4 linked regions of the Arabidopsis thaliana genome follow. The protein of the gene in region 1 interacts with the protein of each later gene in a pairwise test. Each region holds a gene or a part of one and is shown in the gene's direction. Other genes may lie near its edges. The genes, in order: MOS6, FER1, SHY2 and AXR3.

What was found.
Region 2: the proteins of MOS6 (region 1) and FER1 interact in binary tests that used the Arabidopsis thaliana proteins (3 or more experiments, as listed by UniProt).
Region 3: the proteins of MOS6 (region 1) and SHY2 interact in binary tests that used the Arabidopsis thaliana proteins (3 or more experiments, as listed by UniProt).
Region 4: the proteins of MOS6 (region 1) and AXR3 interact in binary tests that used the Arabidopsis thaliana proteins (3 or more experiments, as listed by UniProt).

Annotation. Positions count from the first base shown.
Region 1 is NC_003075.7:949,994-955,670, reverse strand, and holds MOS6 (ARM repeat superfamily protein), read left to right. Parts: upstream 1-1,980; 5' UTR 1,981-2,068; coding exon 2,069-2,284; intron 2,285-2,656; coding exon 2,657-2,756; intron 2,757-2,846; coding exon 2,847-2,938; intron 2,939-3,041; coding exon 3,042-3,173; intron 3,174-3,299; coding exon 3,300-3,485; intron 3,486-3,575; coding exon 3,576-3,739; intron 3,740-3,826; coding exon 3,827-3,905; intron 3,906-3,979; coding exon 3,980-4,108; intron 4,109-4,198; coding exon 4,199-4,326; coding exon of another isoform or gene 4,327-4,330; exon of another isoform or gene 4,331-4,417; coding exon 4,418-4,787; 3' UTR 4,788-5,125; downstream 5,126-5,677. Other genes in the region: AT4G02160 (cotton fiber protein), read left to right, coding at 19-570; AT4G02140 (uncharacterized protein), read left to right, coding at 5,431-5,586. UniProt on the Arabidopsis thaliana protein: Binds to conventional NLS motifs and mediates nuclear protein import across the nuclear envelope. Acts as a cellular receptor for the nuclear import of the virD2 protein of Agrobacterium, but is not essential for Agrobacterium-mediated root transformation.
Region 2 is NC_003076.8:227,407-231,641, reverse strand, and holds FER1 (ferretin 1), read left to right. Parts: upstream 1-1,590; 5' UTR 1,591-2,047; coding exon 2,048-2,355; exon of another isoform or gene 2,356-2,379; intron 2,380-2,444; coding exon 2,445-2,528; intron 2,529-2,640; coding exon 2,641-2,701; intron 2,702-2,801; coding exon 2,802-2,889; intron 2,890-2,990; coding exon 2,991-3,052; intron 3,053-3,147; coding exon 3,148-3,213; intron 3,214-3,306; coding exon 3,307-3,370; intron 3,371-3,458; coding exon 3,459-3,493; 3' UTR 3,494-3,689; downstream 3,690-4,235. Other genes in the region: AT5G01610 (hypothetical protein (Protein of unknown function, DUF538)), read right to left, coding at 1-18, 103-157, 481-567.
Region 3 is NC_003070.9:1,127,613-1,131,250, reverse strand, and holds SHY2 (AUX/IAA transcriptional regulator family protein), read left to right. Parts: upstream 1-1,561; 5' UTR 1,562-1,631; coding exon 1,632-2,116; intron 2,117-2,198; coding exon 2,199-2,507; exon of another isoform or gene 2,508-2,611; coding exon 2,612-2,687; 3' UTR 2,688-3,102; downstream 3,103-3,638. Other genes in the region: AT1G04230 (rRNA-processing EFG1-like protein (DUF2361)), read right to left, coding at 3,423-3,428, 3,578-3,638. UniProt on the Arabidopsis thaliana protein: Aux/IAA proteins are short-lived transcriptional factors that function as repressors of early auxin response genes at low auxin concentrations.
Region 4 is NC_003070.9:1,134,274-1,139,191, forward strand, and holds AXR3 (AUX/IAA transcriptional regulator family protein), read left to right. Parts: upstream 1-1,804; 5' UTR 1,805-2,108; coding exon 2,109-2,347; intron 2,348-2,660; coding exon 2,661-2,872; intron 2,873-3,186; coding exon 3,187-3,325; intron 3,326-3,466; coding exon 3,467-3,528; intron 3,529-4,029; coding exon 4,030-4,067; 3' UTR 4,068-4,390; downstream 4,391-4,918. UniProt on the Arabidopsis thaliana protein: Aux/IAA proteins are short-lived transcriptional factors that function as repressors of early auxin response genes at low auxin concentrations.

The DNA of each region.
Region 1 (5,677 bases):
CACCATTAATTCTTATATATGGAAATTCAAAATCAGATTAATGGTGGCCAAGAAGAGATCAAGAATATGAAGAAGAAGAAACGATCACGTGGTTTTCACGTGATCGGTGTCGTTTTATACATGCTTCGGCGTCGGAGGAGGAGCAAGCCGCTTAATAACGGGTTTTGGCGGCGAGTTGTCGAGTCCTTTGGGCAGTTGAAAAACGACAATGTTACGGTACTTCCATCGTCGTCTAATATTACGATACTACCACCATCATCTTCTCCGGTGACGGATGAAGTTCCGGCGAGTAGTGACGATCAGGTATCGGAGATGGTTGAGGTTCTCACGGCGACGTCTAGTTCTTGCTCTTCGGGAATCTCGGGATATGGATCAGCAAAGTCGTTGCGAGATATGGATTGTCTTGATGAAGATGATGATGATGATGAAAATTATGGTAATGATGATGGAGGTGATGAGATGATTGATGCGAAAGCTGAGGAGTTTATTGTGAGATTTTATGAACAGATGAGGATGCAAAATCAGGCTTATACAGAACGTTACAAAGCTAAAGAGATGATGATGGTCTAAATCGCACATTGTAATTCTATTCACTGAAGCATAATGTCATATTACATGAGTATACATATATGCATGGAGACGTGCACAGAGTTTGTCTTTGATTATTTCGATGATTTTTTTTTTTCGTCTATTATTTCGATGATTTAAGTAATGATATATATATTGTATTCAGTTAGTCTTGATTGTATACTTTTATAGTAGACGATGAATTTGTACGCAAACTATATTAAAATATATTTATAAAACTGATGTCATTTTGGTTTACTATATATCATCTTCAAGTCATAATGCTAGAACCAAATTGCAGCTAGCTTCTTGTGAGTGATATAGTAGATGATGAATTTGTACGCAAATTATATACATGACTCTGAGCTTCTTTGGCAGTTTTCCTAGGGTGTCATATACATGACTCTGAGCTACAAGCCTTTGTTGTTGTCATATTTCAAGCAATTCGTTTTTTTCTTTTTTTTCTTTTGAACCAAAAACCCAATAATGAGTTAAGTAGAAGTTTATAATTCACTTATGGGTACAATCCAATATAATTTAGAATTTTCCTATTGGTTTGAGAATCCAATTTGCTTGAAGAGAAAATCAGAGACATGGAAGCTAAAGAAGAGAGATTAGAAGTTTATGATGTGGAGAGTAAATTGAATCGGTTGCAATTCGGTTTATTATACTAGATTTTTGGTTTGGCATTAGGTTTATGACGTTAACCTAATAATAAACTACAAAATTTGGTTTTGTGGAGACTAAATTCTCTAACTTTCGATTTAGGAGGATATAATAATTTACCTTCTATTTTGTGTTGACTGTAAACGAAGTTCTAAATCTGTGTAGTTGTGGTACTATGTGAAACTGCGTAGGGGAATAGAGGTCGTTCACTCAAGTTTATAAGATGGCACAAATAGAAAGAAATCAATTTAGTTGTTCTCTCATTTGAAAGGAATTCAAGCAATATGGTTGTTCTCGTCTTTCCAAGATGCATTGAATAGTAAAGCATCTAATTAGTAAAGTTCTCATAATGCTCAGTTGCTCACATTGATCTTTTTACCCCTTTTAATTAGAGTACAGTCTTGTAAATTACGTTGTTTTAGCCAAGTTTGGCCTATGTAATAATTTATTTGGGCTTTAAAAAGCCTCTTCAAATTAGAGTATTGCTGCTGCAGAAAAAGAAAAGAATATTTGCGTGGAGAAAATAAAGGAAAACAAATCCATAATTAGTAGTCGGTGTATACATACCTAAAAAGGCAGAGAGACGTTAAGATTCAAATTTCAAAAAAGAAAAAAAATATGAGTGGCAGGTTCGTTATTAATGATAAAACTTAGGGGCAATATTGGATTAACAACAAGTCTCCTGAATCGTGGCCTCCTAAGTACACGCTCTTGTATAAATACACTCGCATCAAACTCCAAAACCCTTATCACTCTCTCATTAATCGAACTTGGCGTGTTTAAATAATCTTCCGATCGTTAATTCTCTTCCGATTTCGATTCGATTTTAGCGGCGATGTCTCTCAGACCTAGCGCGAAGACGGAGGTGCGACGGAATCGGTACAAAGTAGCGGTCGATGCGGAGGAAGGACGGCGGAGGCGAGAGGATAACTTGGTTGAGATCAGGAAGAACAAGAGAGAGGAAAATTTGCAGAAGAAGAGATTTACGTCTTCTATGGCTTTTGGCTCAGCAACGGGACAAACGGAACAGGATCTTTCTTCAGCGAACCAAGTATGTGATTCTTTCTTTTGTTTACGATTCCACCTTTAGTTTTTTCTGATTTTATGTTCCGATTTGATCAATTAGATCGTCTCTGTTTCATATGAATTTCTAATTGGAGATCGATTTGTTCTAGATTTGAAGTTCTTGCGATGTTTCTTTGTTTTTGGTCATAGATTTTGTATTTGATTGCAAAAACTTGCGATGTGTATGTGTTGTTTGGTGAGAGTATTTGTTACTAATGTCTGTTTAATTGACTGGGAATTTGAGCGGTGTTGAATTTGACATGTAAAGAGAATTAGGGTTGATATCTCAACGGAGATCATCAAATTTACTTTAGCTAGAGGAGATTTTTGACTATGATAGTGTCTCTTCGTGTTACAGTTAAAAGATAATCTACCTGCTATGGTTGCTGGAATCTGGTCAGAGGATAGCAATTCACAATTGGAGGCAACAAATCTCTTGCGGAAACTGCTTTCTATTGGTTTGTGATTTATGTTATTGATCGTTACTAGTAGTACATAACAATCAGTGTTTTGGTTAGAGTCTTTAGCAGTTGTTTTTTCTTTTGTAGAACAAAATCCTCCTATCAATGAAGTTGTACAATCTGGTGTTGTTCCTCGTGTTGTGAAGTTTCTTTCCAGGGATGACTTCCCCAAACTTCAGGTGAGTCGCAGCTGCAGTCGTTTTTTTTTGGATATATTGATAGTTACTAGTTTGATGTATTTGTTAACTTGCTTTTGCTGTTTACTTCTGCAATGTGTTTTAGTTTGAGGCAGCTTGGGCGCTCACCAACATTGCTTCAGGGACATCAGAGAACACAAATGTCATCATTGAAAGTGGAGCTGTCCCGATATTCATCCAACTTCTCAGCTCTGCTAGTGAAGATGTCCGCGAACAGGTATATGTTTAAATCCTCACTGTTATCGTTATTGTCACAGAAGAAACACTTAGACATTAGGATCAAGTGGAAATTCATTGAGACTGTTACCATTCTGAGTTCTGGTCTTTCCCTGACTGAGTATAGGCTGTTTGGGCATTGGGAAATGTTGCTGGAGACTCACCAAAATGCCGGGATTTAGTCCTAAGTTACGGTGCCATGACACCTCTTCTGTCTCAATTCAATGAGAATACAAAGCTTTCAATGCTGAGAAATGCTACATGGACATTATCAAACTTCTGCAGAGGGAAGCCCCCACCCGCATTTGAACAGGTTTCCTTAAATATACACACTTTATTGAATCTCCACAATATTTTTTAACATGCTTCTGATATTTTGTTACTTAAAACATTTTTCGAGCAGACACAACCAGCTTTACCAGTTCTTGAGCGCCTTGTGCAATCAATGGATGAAGAAGTTCTCACAGATGCATGCTGGGCTCTGTCATACCTCTCGGATAATTCAAACGACAAAATACAAGCAGTCATTGAAGCAGGAGTTGTTCCTCGCCTCATCCAGCTCTTAGGGTAAGCATCTGATAGTGATCATTTTAATTTTTATTGCCAGGCATGATTATGTTATCTGATTTATGTGCTTCCTCTTTCTCCGTATAGTCATTCGTCGCCATCAGTGCTGATTCCTGCTCTTCGTACCATTGGAAATATTGTAACCGGGGATGATCTACAGACTCAGGTGCATATAATACATTCACCATTCGATTTCGAGTTTTCAGAAGCAAATGTCTCTAACTTATTTTCCTAACACAGATGGTTCTCGACCAGCAAGCGCTTCCTTGTCTTTTGAACCTTCTAAAAAACAATTACAAGAAGAGTATCAAGAAGGAAGCTTGCTGGACTATCTCCAACATTACAGCTGGAAATGCAGATCAGATACAAGTGAGTTTTGTTTATAATATATGGCATTTAACAAGAAAGTCGAAAATTGAAGTTTCCTGTGTCTGATTTTATTCGAACCCGTATGTGCAGGCAGTGATTGATGCAGGTATAATCCAGTCTCTTGTTTGGGTGCTTCAAAGTGCAGAGTTCGAAGTAAAAAAAGAAGCTGCTTGGGGAATATCAAATGCTACTTCTGGTGGCACTCATGATCAAATCAAGTAAAACCATAAAAACCGAAACGAAATGTTTCCTTAACAAAGAATGGTCATTTCTAAAACACGTCTGTGTTTATTGTTTGTTTCTTCTCAGGTTTATGGTGAGCCAAGGCTGTATCAAACCTCTATGCGATCTCCTTACTTGCCCAGATCTGAAAGTTGTAACGGTTTGCTTAGAAGCACTAGAGAACATTCTCGTGGTTGGAGAAGCAGAGAAGAACTTAGGTCACACAGGAGAAGACAACCTCTACGCTCAAATGATTGACGAAGCAGAAGGGTTAGAGAAGATTGAGAATCTTCAGAGTCACGACAACAATGATATCTACGACAAAGCCGTGAAGATCCTCGAAACATTTTGGACTGAAGACAATGAAGAAGAAGGCAACGACGAGAATCATGCTCCACAATCTGGTTTCCAGTTCGGAAGCACCAATGTTCCTCCTGGTCAATTCAACTTTATTTGAAAGGTAAAATAGTTGAATTGGGTCATAGAAGTTGCTTGGACTTTTAAGTAAGCCACATATCGAACGAAAGTGGTAACATCACAAAGATGAAATATCAATCTTCTCTATCTCTTCATGCCCACTCCTTAACTCGTGGACATGAACTATGAAGAAACATAGTACGATTTTCTTTTCTTTTTGGAAGTTTGTCTCAATAACTAAATCATTTGGGGAAGAGAAACAATTATTCTGTGTTAGCCATCATCTCGTCTTTCAACAAAGTTCCCTTTTTTCATATATTAGTGCCATTACAAAATCGTAGTTATGCCTTAACTAAACCAGAAACATTTTTATTCAATAGTTAATCATTTTTACTCGCAATTTTAGAAAACAGAGAAGCTAGAAATAGTAATATACGCTTGTGGAGGTTTGAGGCAACGGTCAAAACTTCAAGAGCAATATACGCATGTGGAGTTTTTATTGGGTACTTTGGTGTCTAATTACAAATAGGAGAGATTAGTGGTGATTAAGTGGTTATTATCATGGTCATAATTTCTATATGCGAGAAATTAGGGTTTAGGCTATGTGACTAATTCGTGTATTTAAAACACTCTCATTGTTTTATATCCAACAGACAACAAGAACAACAACATAGCCAGATATAATGCTGTCTTCACCAGCTTTTGCTGCAGCACGTTCTACTCTCGGTCGTCGTCTTCATGCGAAGAGACTATCTTCTTCTACTGGTCGAACCGCTGATCCAGAGATTCATGCCCGTAACGATGGAGACGAGCCTAGTCTTTTTCCATCAGACCCCGAGGTATATTTTGACTTTGTTGTTTATATATGTCAAGCTTAGCTGTCACAAGTCACAACTAAATTGTTTGTGATATGTTGTTATTGTTGATGTA
Region 2 (4,235 bases), on another chromosome or scaffold:
ACGGCTTCTGCATTTTCCCTGTCAACATGATGACAAATGGGGAATTTCAAAAAAACAAAAAATTGAAAGATGCAGTCAGAAGAAGAATAAAAAAAAGCAAACCTTTGATTTTGTTGACCAACCATTTTGTTCCTCCTTCAATGCTCGTTGACACCGACTGGCATAAACAAAAACATTGTTTTATATGTTAGAAAAGATCACAGTTTCAAACAAAATAATCTAACCACATGAGCAAGAAGAGAAGACATTATAGGATCATATATTTGAATCATTTCTTAAGATATCATGGTTTTGGTAATTAGATGTTCTTCCTTATGTGACGTGATTTACCTAACAATGAACTCAAAACATTCGTACAACTGCATGATACCAAAATTACGATAAAGGTGGTTGATTATATCGGAACCACGTCAATAGATCAAAATCGATTAGGAAAACAGATGAATCAGATTCTATAGGATGGGTCAAAAAAAGACGTACGTTGAGATCGTTGCCGACGGAGTCAAACTGCTTGTTAGCCTTTTGGCCTAACCAGTAGGATCCAACCTTGTTGAAGATCTGATCCATATTCTCTCGAGAAAGGATAGAGAAGATTTTGAGAAAACGAAGGACGACTTTCTTTCTTTTTCTTCCGGGAAAGAATTTTGGGAACCCACCACTCTCGCACCGTTGGATTCGTTATTTGTGCACTATTCCTGCAGCCAATTAACTTATGACATGTGGCAAATACATAAACACCAATATATTTATTGAAGCAAGCAGGCAGCATTATACTGTACAAATTACAAAAAAAAGTACTTGCCTATCACTCCTCCTTGGGACTGACTATCTATCTATTGGGCCTTCAATGAAAATCAGATTAAATAGGTGCAACACAACTTGGGAACTGAAGAACCACATGGCACAAAACAGAGTAAAATTAAAGACTACAATCAATCCTTTTTTTTTGCCATTCCTCCCATGATTTTACTTGTCTATTAGACGAACCTCAGCTAAATTTGTAATTACAGTCGAAAATATTATTAAGCTCTTTAACACTTTTATAGCCTACCCTTGTCTTTGTGCATTCCAGAGTAATACGAATCGATTCAAATCAAGCCAATAAAATAAAACCAAGCCTAACTACACTTTATTTAATGCTTAATTTTTGTCCTTGCCAACATTACAACTTTTTAGAAAAACCATTTGATATGATTTTTTAACTTGGGCCGTGACATTACTAATGAGGCCCACAATGTACTTACTCCGACGTGTAATTGTCTCCGATAAAGACAAGGAACCATTTGGAACCTCTCACGCGCTTTAGCTGGAAATTACGTGGAGTTGAGCTACTCGCGACTCTATCCTATGTATAATTGTATATCAGTTTTCCGTCTCCATCAAATATCCTAGAGAGCCACGAATTTTTCCTTCTTTGTTGTAAATTATGAATATTAGGCCACATAATACGGAAAGTCTTAAAGGGTTTGGACCATTCTCAATCTTATGTTCTAGTAGCTTGATGATTTTTTATAAAAACAATATGGAAATACTTTTATCTCTATCCGATTTCCTATGTCAATATGTGTCACAGGATTTTACACGTCTAACTTATGTTGGAAACGCTATCATCTTTTCTTTTTTTTTTTTTATAGTAAACAATTGTATTTGTTATCATCTACAACTCTAAAAAATACATTTCGAAAAATAGGAGAGAGCGAGTAGGAAATAAGAAAGTGGCAACGCGAGAGTAGGAACCGGAAATGGTAAAAAGATTCTGAGGATAAAAGAGAAAGCAGAGAAACAGACAAACTTTATTTGGAGAGATGTTAACGTGGATCGAATATCCTCACGTTCACACTATCCCATTGGATGTAGCACGAGGCCGCCACACGCCCCTACATCTGGCTTTCATATCCACCCTCCACGTGGATCTCAATCCAACGGTGACCACACGCCTTTTCCCTCTTATATAAACCCTTCCTCCTTCCTCTTTCTTATCATCATCACCATCTCTTACAACAAATCTCAGGCGGCTCAACACTATCCTCTTCTACATTTTCCAACGATGGCCTCAAACGCACTCTCGTCTTTCACCGCCGCTAATCCCGCTCTGTCTCCTAAGCCACTACTCCCTCACGGCTCTGCTTCTCCGTCGGTTTCTCTCGGCTTCTCCAGGAAAGTTGGCGGCGGCAGAGCAGTGGTCGTTGCAGCGGCTACGGTGGACACAAACAACATGCCGATGACCGGAGTCGTGTTCCAGCCTTTCGAAGAGGTGAAGAAAGCCGATCTGGCCATTCCAATCACATCTCATGCCTCTCTCGCTCGCCAGAGGTTTGCCGACGCTAGCGAGGCAGTCATTAATGAGCAAATCAAGTAAGCTTCTCTTTTCTTTTCTGTCTAATTAAAGAAACGAAAATGTTTAAAGATTAGATCTAACGGAGGAGGTTGCTTTCTATTTACAGTGTGGAATACAACGTCTCCTATGTGTACCATTCAATGTACGCATACTTTGACAGAGACAACGTTGCTATGAAGGGACTAGCCAAGTAATTATTACCTTCTAACTCTAATCTTAATCTTATTTATAATAATCTTGATCGTATACTTCAAAATGAGATATATATGTCCATACTAAACATGAGTTTTTATAATCACCAGATTTTTCAAGGAATCAAGTGAGGAAGAGAGAGGGCATGCTGAGAAGTTTATGGAGTACCAGGTTTTCTATTTTTACCTTCTTTTCTGTTTTAGAAAAGTTGATAAAGACTTGTGATTCACTTAGTTAATATTCATATTGTTGGTTTGTTGTCTCTATACAGAACCAAAGAGGAGGAAGAGTGAAACTCCACCCTATCGTCTCACCTATCTCAGAATTCGAACATGCTGAAAAAGGAGATGCTTTATATGGTAAAACTTTAAGCAAATACACTATCTTAATCCTAAAATAACAACTTTTCTTTTTTTTTAAAGATACAGATATTTATTAGTTTACTAATCTTTGTTTTCAGCAATGGAGTTGGCTCTGTCTCTAGAGAAACTCACTAATGAGAAGCTTCTAAACGTTCACAAAGTAAGTTCCCTAACTTATCCATTTGATCATCAAAGATTAAACTTATAGTCATTTTCCTAATACTAACTAACACGTACTTTTGGCCAACAAAACAGGTGGCCTCAGAGAACAATGATCCCCAGTTAGCTGATTTCGTTGAGAGTGAATTTCTGGGAGAGCAGGTAAAAGTTCTTTTGCCTTTGTTCGGATTACAACTAGTGACTTGTATAATCTGTACATGTTCTGACTCAGAATATATTATGGACTATTTCTAGATTGAAGCAATCAAGAAGATCTCAGACTACATCACCCAGCTAAGGATGATCGGCAAAGGCCACGGTACGAATCAAAACCCTATATTGAGATAGTGTTCTCAGACTTGAATGGTATTTCTAAAAGCTTATTTACATTTGTTCTGTCTTTGCAGGAGTTTGGCATTTCGACCAGATGCTTCTGAACTAGACTTGGACCTCTATAAGTTCACTTTCAGATGACCAATGTTGGGGTTAAAACAGAAGAACCCGAAGATTCTGTAAAAGCTTTAGATTGAACATTATGGACTAATAAGATTGTAGTAGTAAGCTTTGTGTTCAAGATGGTTTTTGTAATAACTTCGTAAGCTTAATCAATGAAGTTTTTGTTTTAGTATATTCTAACTAGCTATAAACCTACGGCCAAACAATGCGTAACTAAGAAAATAGTGAAAACTCAGACCTATCTAATTAAACATAGAATATTTATGATCCAACTTGAAAGAGTAAGCATAACGAACCTGTTTATGAAGAACATGTAAAAGAAGCATGAAGCGTATGTCACTTTCCACCGAGAAGGACAAGCTGGTCACTGGGATATAACTGAACAGCAAACAAGAACAAGATCACTGTCACATCAAAGCAAAAGAGATGCTCTTACTTTGATTCCATGTTGAACAGTAGAAAATCATTTCTAACCAAACAAAGACCTGTCTGTTCTACAAAGAGCTGACAAATGTACGAAAATGAGTATCCATAAGAAGTTCATGACGTATGAAAACACCATTAAGCTTTTCATGTACAGATTCTCCCTTAGTGATTTATCTTTTCATCATGGTTCTTCAAACCACTAAGCATTAAGTAAAGATTGAGAATCTTATTTGTATAATGACGAAGAAGTCCCTCGCACGGGAACAATCAAGATTGGATACTTGTATGACCCTAACAAGAAC
Region 3 (3,638 bases), on another chromosome or scaffold:
TGATTGTTACTTAATGGTCTAATTTATCCTTTAAAAAACCAAAACAAATCATTTTTGTGTGATTAGTTGTTGTAGCTAAGACATTGTCATTTTATTTTCAGTATAAGTTACTAAATTCGTTTATATATATAATTAAATTGCAAAGTATGCTACAGTATGACATATAATGAGTGCAGAAAAATAAAAGATGATGCCATAATACTATAGTGAATGAGAAAAGCCTGCGGATATTCATGCCTAATAAAAGTCTTTAACTCCTTATGGATAAGATATATATGGGAATACAAAACATTTAATTTATATTTATTTTTTATCTTACGTTCCACTGACGGATTATAAATAAATTTTTTAGGAAAAACTTTATATTTGTTTGTGTGTGCAAACTTTATATTACATATATTAGTCATCAAATGCTTCTATATATTGTGACCAATTCACAAATAATGATATAAATATATATATATTCCCATCAGTTTTTCTTGGTATAAATACAATTAATTCAATTCAAACTTATGACCTGTTCTGTCAAGAAAACGAATCTAGTAATTTATGACTGAACCAAGAAGAGAATGTTTCTCACCGTACAGAAGAAATCAATGCGTGATGAGTACTGAGTAGCTGTTAGCAGTCACCTCTAATTGTATGAATTTATTTTGTTGAAATATGTTCGTTAATCGTTAGTACTTGTTGAAAGTCACTACGTACGTATATATGTAGATAAAAAAAAAAAAAAAATTCTTTTAGGATTATTGTTACACGTATAATGTAAAGTTATAACATAAGTTCTTAACAACTCTTTGCATAGTACCGATTCGGACTTCGATTTCGAAAGCCATGCATGAGAAAACCAAAAAATGGAGCCAAAACTTAGATCCGGTTCAATTCGAGTAGGTTATGTCAAAGACGTAAACATCTACAATAGGAGCTCCATATAAGTAGAATACAACCAATGCCACGCTGTAACATAAACAAAGACAGCGAGAATCTGTTAAAGATCTCTCAGGTTCCAAAACAAAACTACAAGACCCCATTATGATGTTACTGACATTTAACTAAAGCCTTGTGCTAGTTGATCCTTAAGGAAGATGTCCTGTCGTGATGCTCAGTTTTATTTCAAATTCATATATACGTGTGTGTGTGTGTGTGGTGATCATGATTAATAGGTTAGAGACAGAGAGACAAAAGTTGTGGGCTTTAACAAACCCCAGTAAAGAACAATAAGTAATTTTGTCACGTAGGCTCTGTTTTTGGCTCTTCAACACCCAAAGTACCTGTTTTTTGAAGATGTGAGACATAAATTATTACTTATGATCTCAAGTCAATAAACTCATCAAATCTGAACTACCCACAATCCAAACATTGAACACTAGCTACCTTTACATATAGAGTTAATTAACCATCCATCTATTGAGAAAACGAGTAAAATATGTATTCGGTTGTTGTTCTTGGTAAGAAAAGATTATGAGCTTACGATCCGAAATTTCTTGGTTGTGATAAGTTATTAATGGGAGATAGAGAGAGGTGATATGCCCATATGGCATACCACATGTGGTGGGGGATTCGAAGATTTGATCTGGACCGTCTATCACAAGAAAGAAAGATGAAAATATTTTGTTTTTGGGTTTGGACAGATGGGAGAAAAAGAAAGTGTCCCCACAAATGTCCCCAAGAAGATGGGACACACTTTTGCCTCAAAGTTGCTGTTACTGCTACCGACAAGCTTAGCTTTTTTTCCTTTGTCCTTAATTCAGAAAACAGTTTCTTCTCTCTCTACCAGTATCTATCTTTATTCTCCTTTAACTTGTATAAAACACTCAGCTTCCTCGAAGCCTCTCATCTTCATCATCAGCAGCTTCTCTATATCTCTCCTCTCTTTCAAGGATAATAACCAAAAGCTTTTCTTTTTATCTTCTCCTGCAATTCTTGAAGAAATGGATGAGTTTGTTAACCTCAAGGAAACAGAGCTGAGGCTGGGATTACCGGGAACAGATAATGTATGTGAAGCAAAAGAGAGAGTTTCTTGCTGTAATAACAACAATAAGAGAGTACTATCAACTGATACTGAGAAGGAGATTGAATCATCATCAAGGAAAACTGAAACATCCCCTCCTCGAAAGTAAGTTAAACTCACACAAAAGTCTCTGAATCTGTAGTGGTGGAGAATTCAGTTGATTGACCGTGTTTCTTCCTTTTTGCAGGGCTCAGATTGTTGGATGGCCACCAGTTAGATCTTACAGGAAGAACAACATTCAGAGTAAGAAGAATGAATCTGAGCATGAGGGTCAAGGAATCTATGTGAAAGTAAGTATGGATGGTGCACCATACTTGAGGAAAATAGATCTGAGTTGTTACAAAGGATACTCAGAGTTGCTTAAAGCTTTAGAAGTGATGTTCAAATTCTCTGTGGGAGAGTACTTTGAGAGAGATGGATATAAAGGTTCAGACTTTGTGCCTACTTATGAAGACAAAGATGGTGATTGGATGCTCATTGGTGATGTTCCATGGGAGTAAGTCTTCTTTCATATACCTGTCTGAAAACAATTTCCACAAAATCAAAAATCAGAAACAACAATTTTGTAAGTGTTCTTATGGGTTCTGTTTGTTGTTGCAGGATGTTCATATGTACGTGCAAGAGACTAAGGATCATGAAAGGATCAGAAGCCAAAGGTTTAGGCTGTGGTGTATGAGATATATCTTCAAGAAATCTAACAGAGACACAAAAGAACTTGAAGAAAAATAGAGTTTCTTTTGGTTCAGAGAAATCTCTGTCTGTGCTTGGGTTGTCGGGTTTCTCGGGCAAGATCTATGTTCATTGGATTGAATCCAATTCATAGCCTTTATTTACCTCATCGGTAAAATTCAAATGTAAACATGCTTAATGGTCTTAAGCATATGAAACTGGAACCTAATTACATTTTGTTTCAGAAACAGGGCAAAAGGTTGTCCTTAAATCTTTGGTTATGTGTATTACATTAATTAAAGTGTTATGAAGATTGAAGAGTTGTTTTTATATTTGTAGCAATTCTGTTTTGCGTTCTCATTGATCAAAGAGATTTTCAAGCAATACCCATTTTCTATTTTGGTTCACTAGTTCTTAGATCATATTATTGATGGTCGAGGTTGGATTACTCCCATTAATTAATACAATTCGATCAAAGCCAACATGAACATAAATCAATAGAAACAAAAAAAAAACTTATCTTATATGAGAAATACGTTTTGCCCAAAGCTTAGGGTTCATTTCATCAGCCAAAAACAACAGACACCTACCTCTCTGCTTTCATGGCAACATATATATACGCATTAGATCCAATCAGAAGATGTAAGACTAGACAGGCCGTAGTAATGAGTGAAGCTTTTGGAATTGATGAACTGTGTTACGAGCTTCTTCGTTTTCTCAGACATGGCGGGAGAGACCTTGTTCACGCCTGAAACAGCAAAACGAATAATATATAATCAGCTTGTAAAATGCAGATTCTTTAGTTATAGAGTTTGAAAGATTGATGCAAATGTACCAATAAGACTTTCAACAAAAGTACGAAACAGAATTCCAGGAAAGAGTCGAGAGAAAACTCACCTGTAGCTTCTTCTTCTTAGGCCTTCTCTTCCTCTTGGGTTTGTGAGCATCAGAATTAGAA
Region 4 (4,918 bases), on another chromosome or scaffold:
TGGTTGCATTGGTTCAATCTCATTAAAGTTTCGCATACAATCCATTTATGTGTGCGGGCGCATTTTTTTGTAATCATGTAGGCTGGACCGAGAATTTATATTATTCACTGGTTTACAATTTCATGTGAATTCCATAGTGATCAGTAGATATATATATTGATCAGACAAAGTAGATACACATTGATAAAACACGACAAAATGATGTGATATATAAGACAAAGTGACCCAAAATTCGATTGAAAAATTTGGGGTACGTTGATTTGAAAACTCATGAGAGTTTTTTGGGATAGAAACAAAAGGAGAGAAAAGGGTTAAAGAGGAGGATGTAGACAAGGCAAGGAACAAAAGTAGGGTTTAAGATGTTTTCGCCCCTGAATTTTATTTGATGTAACTTGTCCCTTTATCATCTCCATGTTTTTCTTCTTCTCATTAATTTAAATTTTGGCTTTGGAATTTATGGTGATGTTAATTGTACCCTCTCTTCCTTTGGATTTTGATGCCACTCATGTCCCCTCTCATAGATTTTATTAGGGTAGGAATATGCCTTTTTCCCTCTTTATTTTCATATTTATTGAATTTACGTTGGTTAATTATGGTTAGTACGCTTGGTGTTATTTAAACGTCCCGTATTCACAGTTTACGCCTAACTGATTACTTTGAACTAAAACCAGTGTCTAGTAGATCACTAAAGTCGAATTTTGAACGAAAGTTTGAAAATTCGCAAAAGCGCCGTGAAAATACAATTCCAAAACATATCATTTTTGTTTTTGGAAGCGTGATTGATGAAATAAAAACAAAATATGTTTTGGAAGTGCGACAGAATTTGTTTTTTTGTTTAGAAATGCGATAATATAGACAAATTAATAGAAAATGTAATACAAATTTAGGTGCTTTCATAACTACAAAAAAAAAAAAAAACTACCCTATTGTTGAAAACTTTCATACTACAAGAATAACACAAGCAATATAAAAGAAGAAAAATAATTTTCAATAATCAAAAACAGACATTATATTTTAGTAGTCAATTTAATCTGTAAATATCTGTAAAGAAAATTAATCACCAATTTTATTGTTAACTACAAAGTGGTGTTTATAATATTGCAATTTATAGTTTGTTAACTACAAAGTATAAACATTAAAGAGTAATGATGCGTTTTTATGTGTCTAGATACACATTTCGCTGTACGTGTTTATAGGTGAGTTTTTAATCAATAAATATTGAAGATGTACCGTATGCTTTATTTTGTATTGGCATGAGAATAATTATATACAAGAGGGCTGCGCTTTTATTGTGGGATGAATAATTGAATCATGTGGATGTGATATGCATAATTGGAAGGTTCCGGCGAAGAATCTTACGGGGAAAAATAATCAAAATCATGAATATATATTCATTAGTTAATAATTATATTTAGAAGTCAAAAAGCATAATATAGTTATATTAATAATAATGTACATCTCTATTGTAACACTCTCATATGAGATGTCTGCGACCTCGCCACTCAAAAGAATATATATTTATAAACTATACGTTGATATAGTTTTTAAGACCATATGGTATATACATATATTTAGTTAGATACCCCATATCAATTAATCGGTTCATCACCACTTAATTCACTTGGTTGCTTCGAATGTGTTTCATAATTCACTTGTAATTTTAAAATCTTTCCTTCACTTGTGCTTTCGCTTGTAATCTCAAAATGTTATATATCTCTTTTAACGGGAGAAAAACGATTAAAGACGGATTAAAATATATATCCATTTTGTATAGTCAAATGCAATAATATATACATAATCTACAAGATAAATCATAAGAAAGATTCAATAACAGTAATAGAGTAATAACAGTGATTACTGATTAGTCTAAAAGACTAAAACTCGAGGATGATGACTTAATCAAAGGGCTTAGATTCATCCACGTGTCTAAAACCCGTTTAATCAAAGATCTCTTAAATACGACATACACATGCAGCTACCTCCTAGACAGAGATATAATACAGACTCATCTCACTTTGTATTATTTGAGTGTTTTTATAAAACCATTTTTCCATCTTCCTCATCACCTTCCCAAGAAGAAGAACACCAAAGAAGAAGAAAGGTTAATAATGATGGGCAGTGTCGAGCTGAATCTGAGGGAGACTGAGCTGTGTCTTGGTCTTCCCGGTGGAGATACAGTGGCTCCGGTAACCGGAAACAAGAGAGGGTTCTCAGAGACGGTTGATCTGAAGCTAAATCTGAATAATGAGCCTGCAAACAAGGAAGGATCTACGACTCATGACGTCGTGACTTTTGATTCCAAGGAGAAGAGTGCTTGTCCTAAAGATCCAGCCAAACCTCCGGCCAAGTAATTTTACTATTTTGTCCTTTATGATTTATTTTCCACTCTTCTCTACTGCTCTTAATATTAACATTTTTGTAAAGGTGACTGCAAAAAAAAACAGAAATTTCATTAAAGATATATATTTTTCTTCGCCAAAACCATTTTATCATATGTCTACGGTTTTTTTCTCTTCTTAAATCGTCCAATGTCTTAATATATTTAATTATGTTTAACCCATAGTCTCATGCAAGTAAAATTTATGTGACATCACGTCAAAGCTAACTACAGTCTATATCTTGTATAACATAACCGTTTTTCCGTTTTAAAAAAAATATAGGGCACAAGTTGTGGGATGGCCACCGGTGAGATCATACCGGAAGAACGTGATGGTTTCCTGCCAAAAATCAAGCGGTGGCCCGGAGGCGGCGGCGTTCGTGAAGGTATCAATGGACGGAGCACCGTACTTGAGGAAAATCGATTTGAGGATGTATAAAAGCTACGATGAGCTTTCTAATGCTTTGTCCAACATGTTCAGCTCTTTTACCATGGGTACGTTTTATAAGTATATTCCTTATATATATATGTAGATCCTTCCATGCACATTTAGTTACTAATTAATTGTTACTATAGAAAGAAAAATTAATCATCATGATGATAGATCAGTCCCAAATGAATTACCGTTATCGAGTATACAAATATTTCATAATTGAGTAACCCGTTAGTAGTAGTTTAGAAACTGTGAAAAGAAAACTATGTGATAAAATCCAATTGCGAAAAATGTATATTTCATTTGTTGCACCATAAAAGAAAACCACCAAGTTTAAATTCAGGATATCAAGTTCTTATACCTAAGATTATTTTAGGCAAACATGGAGGAGAAGAAGGAATGATAGACTTCATGAATGAGAGGAAATTGATGGATTTGGTGAATAGCTGGGACTATGTTCCCTCTTATGAAGACAAAGACGGTGATTGGATGCTCGTCGGCGACGTTCCTTGGCCGTACGTCTTCTTCTTCTCCCTTATTAATTACCATTTAATTAGAGCTTTATTGTTTCGGTTAAAATTCGAGCTTTATTTTTGTTTATGTCATTTATTTGTTTCTAATAAATAACCATTTGTTTTAATCTTTTTATTTATTAGAATGTTCGTCGATACATGCAAGCGTTTACGTCTCATGAAAGGATCGGATGCCATTGGTCTCGGTATGTATTTTCTACCAATGCATATTATATTCACATTGATTAAATTTTGATTTCAGTTTGTTACCCATTTAAATTAAAATTTACGTGTATATGTATACAATATAGTTAAAATAGCTTACAAAAGAGATTTGCCCCAAAAAGAAAAAAAAAACTTACAAAAGAGCTTAAAAGTTTACTATAATGTACACCTCAACCGCATAACTTGGTCGCCTAAATAATTTAATATGCTATCGTTTAAGATGATGTCTAATCATCAAACGCTTAAACCGTTCATTATTTTTCGCACAATTATATTTCTACCGTAAAGAACAAATTTGTCGAAAGAAAACTTATCGCTTTGATCTTTTAAATCATTGATATAATACATGATATTTGATTCTCTTTTGTCAAATGCAAAAAAAGAAAGAGATTAAATAACAGAGGGAATAAAAAATATACTCTTTTAACAGAATAAATACCGTGGTCAAATGTCTTTGCTTATTAATTGTAAAAATATTTCAGCTCCGAGGGCGATGGAGAAGTGCAAGAGCAGAGCTTGAAGTCAAATTAAAAGGATAAGTGGTATCGATTATATATTTGATTAACACATTGATTGGTGTTAATTGCTCTTTTTTTTCTTACGATGAAATACATTGTTCAGTTTCTTTTGATTGTCTGTGTTTTGATCTGGATTTGGTATGTAGATATAGTTTGTATGCTATTATGTGTAATGAACTTAAGTTAAATATTTGAGACATTTGTAATGGAAAATGTGTAATAATTTGAACATCCTATTCCTATGTATATGTTTGTCTTTATTTATTTATTTTGCCAAAGATGTGTATATTCGTATAAGGAATATGTGATTTTTATTCCACTATGGAAAATTTAATCTCACATTACTTCTCTTTAATTTCAGTCTCTTAATAGTCAGTTATTTTCTAAAGGCAGAACAGTATTCTTTTGGTTCGTCTTGAAAGTGAAACTAAAGATCATAGCGATCGAGTATTTGACCCTAAAGTAAACTTTCCCCAAGTATAATTTCGAAGTCGGTATAATTAGAATTACAATATTACAATATACATATGTTATATCAGATGAATATAATTACAAAAATGGGGAAAATTCACTTTGTTGGTATATTGATTTGTTGGTACTTAAAGTGATAATTGGCTTTGGTTGGAGGAAATAAAATAGAGAAATAGGACCCATAGGGAAGAGAGGGAGCAATGCCATGTGCATATTCATGGGTCTCTTCATTTCATTACCTTTGTTTATCATTTAATTTCCCATTAAATTAATTAGGAATATTAACTTTTATACCAACTAAATTTATTAACAAGGTTATCATAATTATACACAAATATCCTCTCTATAATGAAAAATGAAAAACCACTAGAAATATGGAATT